2 linked regions of the Arabidopsis thaliana genome follow. The protein of the gene in region 1 interacts with the protein of each later gene in a pairwise test. Each region holds a gene or a part of one and is shown on either strand. Other genes may lie near its edges.

What was found.
Region 2: the proteins of SNRK2.10 (region 1) and BZIP27 interact in a two-hybrid assay, tested with the Arabidopsis thaliana proteins (one large-scale study listed by BioGRID).

Annotation. Positions count from the first base shown.
Region 1 is NC_003070.9:22,438,448-22,444,256, reverse strand, and holds SNRK2.10 (SNF1-related protein kinase 2.10), read left to right. Parts: upstream 1-2,035; 5' UTR 2,036-2,149; exon of another isoform or gene 2,150-2,322; 5' UTR 2,323-2,360; coding exon 2,361-2,480; intron 2,481-2,667; coding exon 2,668-2,742; intron 2,743-2,845; coding exon 2,846-2,947; intron 2,948-3,174; coding exon 3,175-3,228; intron 3,229-3,329; coding exon 3,330-3,422; intron 3,423-3,567; coding exon 3,568-3,660; intron 3,661-4,154; coding exon 4,155-4,259; intron 4,260-4,338; coding exon 4,339-4,437; intron 4,438-4,514; coding exon 4,515-4,859; 3' UTR 4,860-5,194; downstream 5,195-5,809.
Region 2 is NC_003071.7:7,720,641-7,724,834, reverse strand, and holds BZIP27 (basic region/leucine zipper motif 27), read right to left. Parts: upstream 2,011-4,194; 5' UTR 1,850-2,010; coding exon 1,262-1,849; 3' UTR 1,188-1,261; coding exon of another isoform or gene 1,110-1,187; intron 956-1,109; coding exon of another isoform or gene 884-955; 3' UTR 544-883; downstream 1-543. UniProt on the Arabidopsis thaliana protein: Transcription factor required for the transition to flowering promoted by FT.

The DNA of each region.
Region 1 (5,809 bases):
AAAATCATAAAAGATGTGGACTGGTTGTAACATCATATCTAGGCCGGGTTTAACTTCCAAACCGTATCAACCTGACCGAATCAAACCATTTTAACCCAATTACTGTAAATTACTCCATTATAATTATATAACGTAAATAATTGAACCTTACATAGAATGTATACCAAATCAACAAGTGAATACATAATCTCCACCTTCACACTTCAGTCAACTTCTAATGGCCTTTCAGTACATGAATAAATTGTTGGGAGAAGAGGTCATACTTGCTTGAATTGGGTGGAAGTAGTTTTCTAGTGAAGACCAGCCTCTTGGCATAACGTCGGAAAGTAGAAAAATCCTCAGAAACTTAAACACAATCAACAAAGTAGAGTATGAGACCATCTACATCGGTTGATTCTCAAAAAAGAGTTTCTCATGAATAAAATATTGCTTATTTTAATTGAATTTAGATAAAGTATTAAATTTTAATAAAAAGAATAAAATCAATCATTTCTGGAAAAACACGTGGCCATAAACATTTTTCAGAGTTTCTGAAAACAGAGACGATTCTCACTTCTCTCTTCTTTTCACCACTTTGTATTATTTTAATAATAAATATCTCTTTTAAATACTGTTGATGGAAGTGTCCTGATAGGTTTAAAACTTTTTAGTTATTTTTAATAAAAAGTGACTAAATTTTTTATTTTAGTTAAAGAAAAGTGGTTGAGATCTCTTTTAAAAACAATCTATCTATCATATCGAAATGACAAATTAGATAATCGTATTATCAAAAGCTAGATCTAACTAGGAATTGCAAGAGCATATTTTGCAGCCCCATTTCAATCTACTACATGTTGCAAATAGACAAATAGATAATCATATAGATAAAACTCATCAAGGAGATTGACTTATTGTTAACGAAACCAAACCCATGACATAATTTAGTAATGATGTAAGTGTTTTTGTACATGAAACAGTTTGCCACAAGCAACAACTGGACTTATGCCACTGAAATCAACGAAATTAGAAACCATATTAAAACCTAATCCATAGTGCCACGAACACAAGAAACCTACAACGCAGTCGATAAACACTTGCTAGAATTACGTTTCTTAAAGTTGTGCATTAGCCTTACTTCATCTATTGGGCCTTAAAATCATAAAGCCCATTACGAGAATGCAATCGTAAATGTTTTTTTTTCTTTCTTACTCAACATCTATATGATATATCCGTTATCTGTTGGGGTAGCTTAAGCAAAGTCACAACTCACAAATCTATCCATCATTCAATGTAACAAATCTATTGCTTTTTTAGTTAAGAAGAGAATTTATTTAGTTTGCATCTCCTATTATTTTAACAAAACTAATAATTTTTTGCAAATTTTAAAATTATATCTCAACTTTATACATATAATCAAAATGTGATTTCACATAGCCACATTCGGAAAGTATAAACCAACCATTCTACAAACAACCAACAAGTCAATGTTTAATTACGTTTTTCAGGTTAATTCAGAAGTTGTTCCAAATCGAATCTTTCCGTAAAAGGCAAAAACATATCTAGACAATCCAACAAGATAACTAAGTCATATTCAGATTCGTTATATAACTTATATAGCTTTCTACTGACCGTTAGTTGCAATTATAGTTTATCTAATATTAAACTAACTTTCTTTTTTGTAACTAAATACTCTCGGGTAAAAAAAGTCCTAACAATCTCATTTTTTGATAACTGGATACTTTAAGATAAAATCCAAACTAATCTCCAGCTCTTATAAAGATCCACTAGAGAATTATAGTAAACATTCTTGAGTACAAGTTGTTTTCGTATTCTCTTGATTCTTTAAAAAAAGCATATCCAATAAACAAATGATGTTCTCGTAGAATCGGCAAATTGCAAAAAGATGAAAAAATAAGAAATAGACGCAATTCTGTGACAACTAAAATATCCTTTTCACATATAGCGACGTCTCAGTCACTAAAGAACCGATAGAATTGGAATTTGTAGGTCCCACATTTATTAATATACCTCTTAAATTAACCAAAAATAATTCAATAAGTAAACTATTACTTAAATAATAAAAAAATAAGAGCCATCGTGACTTCGAGAGAAGAAGCCAGCAAGGAACGATGGAGATTATTACGGCATCATCATCATCATCATCATCATTGTAATTCGTAATCATATCTTCTTTTGGAATTTCTTCACGGATAAGAAAAAAGGATATCGACAATTTCGCTTTTGCTTTCAAAATCTCATTCTATCACTTTGTGCCTTTTTTAGCCATCGCGAAAAACCTCTGAATCGCATCCCTTGATTTTCTGGGTTTGTGACTTTGTGTAGTGGAAATTAGGCTTGTTGTTTGATTTCGCTACGAGAAAATGGACAAGTACGAGCTTGTTAAAGACATCGGTGCTGGGAATTTTGGAGTGGCGAGGCTCATGAGAGTCAAAAACTCCAAGGAACTCGTTGCTATGAAGTACATCGAGCGTGGACCTAAGGTTCTTCTTCTAACTCTCAAATTACTTCCTTTTACGTGTGCAATTTTGCAAGTTGGAGTGTTCTTCTGCTTCGTTTATCTGGGATTCTTACTTTTGTGAGCATAGTACTGGTTCATTGTCTTATAAGATCAAAGATTGAGTATGTGATTTTCAATCCTTTTTTTTCTGGTTTTGTTTTGGTGAATAGATTGATGAGAACGTGGCGAGAGAGATTATTAACCACAGATCACTTCGTCATCCCAATATTATCCGGTTTAAGGAGGTAACTGCATTTTTTCCATGGCTTCATGGTGTCATGTTTAAACCGATGGTGATTAGTCTCAGCGGAAGTTGGTATCCTAAGTTCACTGTTGTGGCATTTCCAGGTGGTTTTGACACCAACGCACATCGCCATTGCTATGGAATATGCTGCTGGCGGTGAGCTATTTGAGCGTATATGTAGCGCTGGAAGATTCAGTGAGGATGAGGTGAGCTTCCCCTGGCATTTAAAGATTTTAAGTCATGGTGGTGTACTAAATGATCAATTTCAGAGTTGTATTGTGGTCTGAGATTAATTGAGTGGAAAGGAAAGCGGAAATCTTGTAGAATTATATTTGTGTTTTGTAGTACAGGAAGCAAAAGGAATATGTGTTGTAAATCATTTGGAGCAGCTTCTCCGATTATGATAGCTTTTTGTGCACATCTTTGTTTTCAGGCAAGATACTTTTTCCAGCAGCTTATCTCAGGAGTCAGCTATTGTCATGCTATGGTAAGAGAAAGAAATGGGTTACGAAGTTTTTTTAACTTCACAGATATACATAATTTCTGCGGTATCAGTCCTTTACTTGCATTAGTTCCTTATTGTCACAGCAAATATGCCACAGAGATCTGAAGCTTGAAAATACCCTCTTAGATGGAAGTCCTGCTCCACGCCTGAAGATCTGTGATTTTGGTTATTCCAAGGTCTGCCATATATCTCCAGCATGCACTTGAATGTGCTAGTGATTTCTTAATTTATCCTGTTGTAACAAGCTCCTCTTTCTTCTTTTTCCCTCCATTTGCGAGGCCCCTTGTCACTTCCATGTGAGCTATTTTTCTTCTTTTGTAGTCCTCACTGTTGCACTCTATGCCCAAATCAACTGTTGGAACTCCAGCATATATTGCACCTGAGGTTCTTTCTCGCGGAGAGTATGATGGCAAGGTAATCTTATTGGTTTGCAAGTATTAGTATATCAAGTATGCTTAGCATCTTGATAGAGACATCATAGTTTGAAAAAATTTCCTGCGTAGTAATGTAGCTCTTTCAACTTTTTCTCATGCATAATATGTTTATACATCAAGAAGGTATCGCCCATATTGGCAGATATCTGCTGTGGCCTTGATAGATTTGGGCAGTAAACATGTCTTTTTAATTATCCAGGACCAGAATGTGTTATTTTTCCATTTTTTATCATTTAATCGCCATTCCTTTTTTGCATTTCTCGACTCTTTAAGTGCGTTTGTTCATTGATAATTATAAGCTTTCTAGCCTTGAGCCATGCATAAAGAATTTTTTAGAAACGCAATGGATCCCAAATACTTATCTTGACCCATATGCTCTATGAAATTGTTATGATCTTATTGTTTGGATTTGGAAACATCAACTTCACAGAAATCATCAGAGTTTTGGTACTTATATTCTTCCTTCTCACTCAGATGGCTGATGTATGGTCTTGTGGTGTGACTCTTTATGTCATGCTGGTGGGAGCATACCCATTTGAAGACCAAGAGGATCCCAAAAACTTCAAAAAAACAATACAAGTAGGTTTCTTTGTTTTTGCATTCTTTGCTTAAGAGTTGACACGACACCACCACTGATCGTTGTGCCACATTGTTACAGAGAATAATGGCTGTCAAGTACAAGATCCCGGACTATGTCCATATCTCACAAGATTGCAAACATCTCCTCTCCCGTATATTTGTCACCAACTCGAATAAGGTATCATCACTCTGTCGAAAAGCTTGTCCATCCTTTTTGAGATAATTACTTGTATAACTTATCATTTTTCTTGTCAGAGGATTACGATAGGTGACATCAAGAAACATCCATGGTTCCTAAAGAACCTGCCAAGGGAACTTACAGAAATAGCTCAAGCTGCATACTTCAGGAAAGAGAACCCGACATTCTCACTCCAAAGCGTCGAAGAGATAATGAAGATTGTGGAAGAGGCAAAAACTCCAGCTCGTGTTTCTCGGTCGATTGGAGCATTTGGGTGGGGAGGAGGAGAAGATGCCGAGGGCAAGGAGGAAGATGCAGAGGAAGAAGTTGAGGAAGTAGAAGAAGAAGAAGACGAAGAAGATGAGTATGATAAGACGGTGAAGCAAGTGCATGCTAGCATGGGAGAAGTCCGAGTCAGTTAAAAAAAAAGATTGATTTTCTTTTCACGAAAGTATTCTAAAACCAAAAAAAAAAGAAAAAAAAGTTTTCGTTGGTCTGTCGAATTTGTCTCTTGCTCTGTGTTGAGTTCTTATTTTCTTTTCTTGGTCATAATTTTTAAGGTTAGTCTCATAAATGCTTTGGAATTTTGCTTCTGAAAATCTTGTAAAATCTGCAGTAGAAGAAAGAACAAACTGGTTTGATGATAAGTTCGGTTTGGGCGAATAAAATATTTTGTATATTATATGGTCTATTTTGCAAATTACCTCAGATTTCACCTTGTTTATTTTGCTAATTAATTTTCATATACAAACAGAGCTTAAAAATTACAATTTACAACATTTTTATACTTGTGAAATTGAAATCTCGTGTAATACTATTTTGTCATGTTATAATTTTTCAAAAATTTATCGTTGCTGTTTTTAAAATATGGATTTAAAACCGATACATGGAATTATTTTCCTTTGAAATCAAAATATATTTGTTTTTGATGTCTGTGAAAGTGAGGGAGAGAGAGAGTGAACCTTTTTAACTATCCCGCCATACGAAAATCGCAGAAAGCTGTAATTGGAGACGCGCTCTTTCTTCTCTCTCGCCTCGTGATCTTACCGGAAAAGTTTCGTCGCCGGAGTTTCACTATTTCGCCGCAGAAGCACTAGAGTTTCATCTGTTTGAAAATGTAATCTCGATCTTCCCGTTTCCCAGTCATTTCTAGGGGTTTTTGTTCGCTTTTTCTCACACCGATTCATTTGCGAATAATTTTTGAGTGTATTGTTCGGTGTTCGTCTGTGTGTAAAGAGGAATTTTCGTTAGTTATAGCAGAATCGCTTCATCTTCTAGTTGGAGAACTTATTAGCTTCTGGATTTGGTTAGTTCTTCGTTTTCCTATGCATAGATTTTGAAATTAATCGTCAAATTCGTTGTGGTGTATTGT
Region 2 (4,194 bases), on another chromosome or scaffold:
TGTTCATAGCTTTTGGTATTTTGAAGATTTTATTTTCGTCAAATAGAGGATCAAGATTAGCTGATTCTTTCCCATTTTTTATGTGCTGCCTGCTAAATAAAGTTAAGAAATTTACACTGAATAACATGTCATCTCTATCATATTGTTGTTAATTATTCCTTTAGATTGGTTCCAAATGTTTGAGGAAGAAGGTGGATGCATCAGAAGAACAAATATTATTGGATCAGAATGAAGCAAGCATTTGTAGCATCTTTAAAGTTGCTACAAGAAGGAAGTCAGCAAATTCATTGCCCAACTTTTATTTATACATTAGATGTTACCAAATTTGCTCTTAGGTGTTTATTTTGTTTCTCTGTTGTTTCTGGTTACTAATAAAGCCAACTTTATAATGTGAGCATATTCATGGCCCAACTTTTATTAAAACATTAGATGCTACCAAATTTGCTCTTAGGTATTTATTCTGTTTCTCTGTTGTTTCTGGTTGCTAATAAAGCATACACAAAAAGAAGTCAACCAAGAAAAAATCTTCTTAGCATCATTATGAAGACTTATATCATCTGACAATACAGTGCAGTAATGGCTTAACCAGTGAAAACAGAAACTCATGTACTAGCTAGATAAGGACTTGACTTGGCATTACAATAATAGAGGTTAAGTAGAGAAGAAAAAAAGTACAAAAGTCAAAAGAGTTGATAGGAAACCAGAGAAGAAGAAGAAAGTTAGTTGCTTTCTTTTTCTAGACACTTTTCTTCTACACACACTTTTCTTTTACATTACTTACCACCACAAATTTAACTTAGCTAAAATGTACAAACTTTTTCTGTTTTTCTCATCTTCATAAGAAACACTTGAAACTCCCCCAAAAAGAAATAGTAGATTTTTCTCAAAATGGAGCTGTGGAAGACCGTTGTAGTGTTTTCTTTACTTGGTTTTGAGTTGCTTCGGCTATTTTCAGCTGTATTTTCCAAAAAACAGAAAAATAAAAATATTGGCCTTAAGTAGCAGAATCTTACATTCACAAGAAAAAGTTACTGCAAGAAGTAATGCACAAGTTTCTCAAGACAAAATTAGACTAAGGCATTAAAGCAAGAAGTCAGTGTTAGTTTTACCTGCTCTTGTTGTATCTTGAGTCTTGCATTCTCTGTCTGCAAGTGAGCAATTTCAAGCTCAAGTTCGTTTGTATATGCCTGAAAGATCCATGGACCAATTTTAGTACAGAGGAATTGTTGATTTAATACGAGATTCTGTTGATTTAGAGGAATTAGAAAGTAGAAGAGTGAGGAGAGACACATTCCTGCTTCCTAGCCCTTGAACGAGCAGCAGATTCTCTGTTCTTGATCATACGCTTATACCTTCTGTCTCCTCTAGTATCATCAGAATCTTGGCCTCTTTTCTTACCAAGACAACCAAACTTTGCAGATTCCTCAAAGGAGCGAGGGTTAGAAGCAAGAAGATTTTCTGTGGTATCAAGAAACTCGAATCCAACACCGGAGTTTAAGCTGAGGACAGTGGCAGGAGGCGGAAGAGGCAGAGAGCCATAGAGAGCAGTGACAATGGTGGAAGAGGAAGGTGGTGGTGGTGGTGGTGGTGGTTGATTCAGAGGCATGTTGAGGAAATCTTGAAAGATGGAGTTATTAGGGTTTTGGTTCTTTAACATTGGTTCATGACCAATGTTTAGTTGCCGATGGTAGTGAAGTGAACCAAGGTTGATTTCTTTCCATACTTCTTCCATGGTGACTTGAGATTTGTTATGGCCTAGGGAGGATGATGTTGATAATGATGATGATGAAGAGGAAATTGAAAAGGCACTATGGTTGTTGATCTTATTATGCTTTGCTGATGACAACATTGGAGAACAGAACAGAATAGCATAGAATGCTTTGTTTTTTGGTTTTGGGATGTCAAATGTCTTATAGCTTTGAGACAGAGAGAGAAAGATTGTGAACTTCTTGTCTCTCAATGGTCATTTCTAGTATCATGATGGTTGGGTCCAGTAGTAGAAGAAACAGAGATGTAATTGTTCTAGAAAGAAAAAAAACAAAATCAAAATATGTTAATGTAATGACTTTTTGTCACTTAATCCAAAATTTGATAGTGATAAATCTATAGTTATGACTTATGTGACGTCAAACTTTTTCTCCTAAGATAATCATTTTTATGTTACAGAAGGAATTATTTACCAATTAGCATGAATGCATGATACTTAAATCTGGAGTTGGTGGGTAAAGAGATTCTTTGTTTTGAAAAGGTAACCAATAAGCTATGGTTTTGGTCTCACTTTAATATCACAACAATTCAATAGACCCTTTAAATCGCTTTCAAGTGTGTGTGATCTTTGCTTTAATTTTTACCAACTTTTCTGTTTGTTTTTACCTTTTTGTAATTATATATTTTCAACTTTTCTAATAGTTTTGCTTACATAATATATCTCTAATCTATCTTCAAATCCGATCAAATAGATTAATGCACTACAACCACTTAAACACGTATATAAAAAACTAGATCCATGACTTATGAGCACCATATCATATCATAATTTGAGTTTGACCTCATTTCGAGTTAAATATGGTTTTGAAAAGAAGAAAGAAGTGTATATTTGTATTATGTCATTACAATAATGTCACAACATGTGATTATGAATATGAAAGATATAACTGTATATATTTATCTATTTTATACATTAATATTGGTAGTGGTAATGGAAAGCAACTTATTGGTTGAGTAAAAGATAACTGAGCCTGATGTGATTGATTTTTCAAAGTTCCCAGAATGGAGAGGCTTATAATGCCAAAGGACAATTGAAAAAAAGAAAATAAAACAGGGTCATGAAATTTTATATATTTTACAAATAATCACATTTCCTCATCATCATATTCTTTTTCTGATTAATTTATTTTATGTTTTAGATCATTGAGAAAACTATTCAATTGTGACTAACAGATATGTTATATGTTCCTCATTTCATAAATGATGTTTTTATCTAAACAATTTCGCATTTTCACCATATCTTAGCATAAAAAAAAATATTTTCTTTCTAAATCACTTTCACTTAGACCATTTCCAATGGTTACCTCTATATTTTTCTATATTTTAAAAATGATTATATTTAGAGGCATTGTGCTCCAATGGTCACTTCTAAAATAGAGTTTTTTAAAAAATAAAGGAAAAATAGAGATAAATTGTAGACATTTCTATTTATAGAGATACAATGTAGATATTTCTATTTTTCTTTTATTTTAGAGGTAACTATTGTTGGAATTAAAGCTTAGTTATTTTATAAAAGACCCAATGAGAAACATACCCAACAACCATTAGAGCACAATGTTTCTAAAATAAAGTCACCTCTGTAAATAGAGAAAAATATAAAGATCACTATTGGAAATACCCTTAACCAATCGAAGTTGTTTTATATTTTAGGTTCATTAAAAAATTCGGCGAGCCGAAGTATACACTTTTTGAGAGAATTAGTTGGATAGTAAGGGTATGGATCACCACCCGAAAAAAAAAAATCATTTTCTATATAGCTTTGATACCACTAATAATACCCCAGCCAAATCAAACATGAATTTGTTTCTGAACCCAAAAAGAAGTACCCGTTCTGATTCGGTAGAAGAAAAATAAAATCGAATACGAAACCATGAAAATCTCTTAATCGAAATTAATAAGTAATAACCCACCTTTTTGTCCAAAAAAAAAAAAAAGTAATAACCCACCCATGTTATGTTTGTCTACGGACCAAAAAAAAAAGTTATGTTTGTCTACGAGTCCAAAGACAATGAGATTGACGTGGCAAGCTCCCATGGATAGAACAAGTGTCAGGTCTGTGTTACTCTTTCCCCAAACTTCATTAGCTTTAATTCTCTTCGTATTAATCTTTGTCCAATATATCCTATGGACCTTTCGTTTCACTACATATTAGACCTAGTTTAGACTAATTTTAGATGGAGCTTTTACAGAAATGAGTAATATTTGGCCCAAAAATTTGAAATTGAGCATTTTTACAATGGGCTTATAGAGTTATGCATTTTCTATGAACTGAATTGACAAAATTACTTTAGAGTTTAATTAATGTCATCTTCTTCTTCTTTTTCGATGGCTTCACAAACATTTCTATACCAACAACCTTGTTCTAATCAACCCAATAAAATCAAGTAACTTCTTTTTAATGGAAGAAAGTTAAATCCTAAATGGATA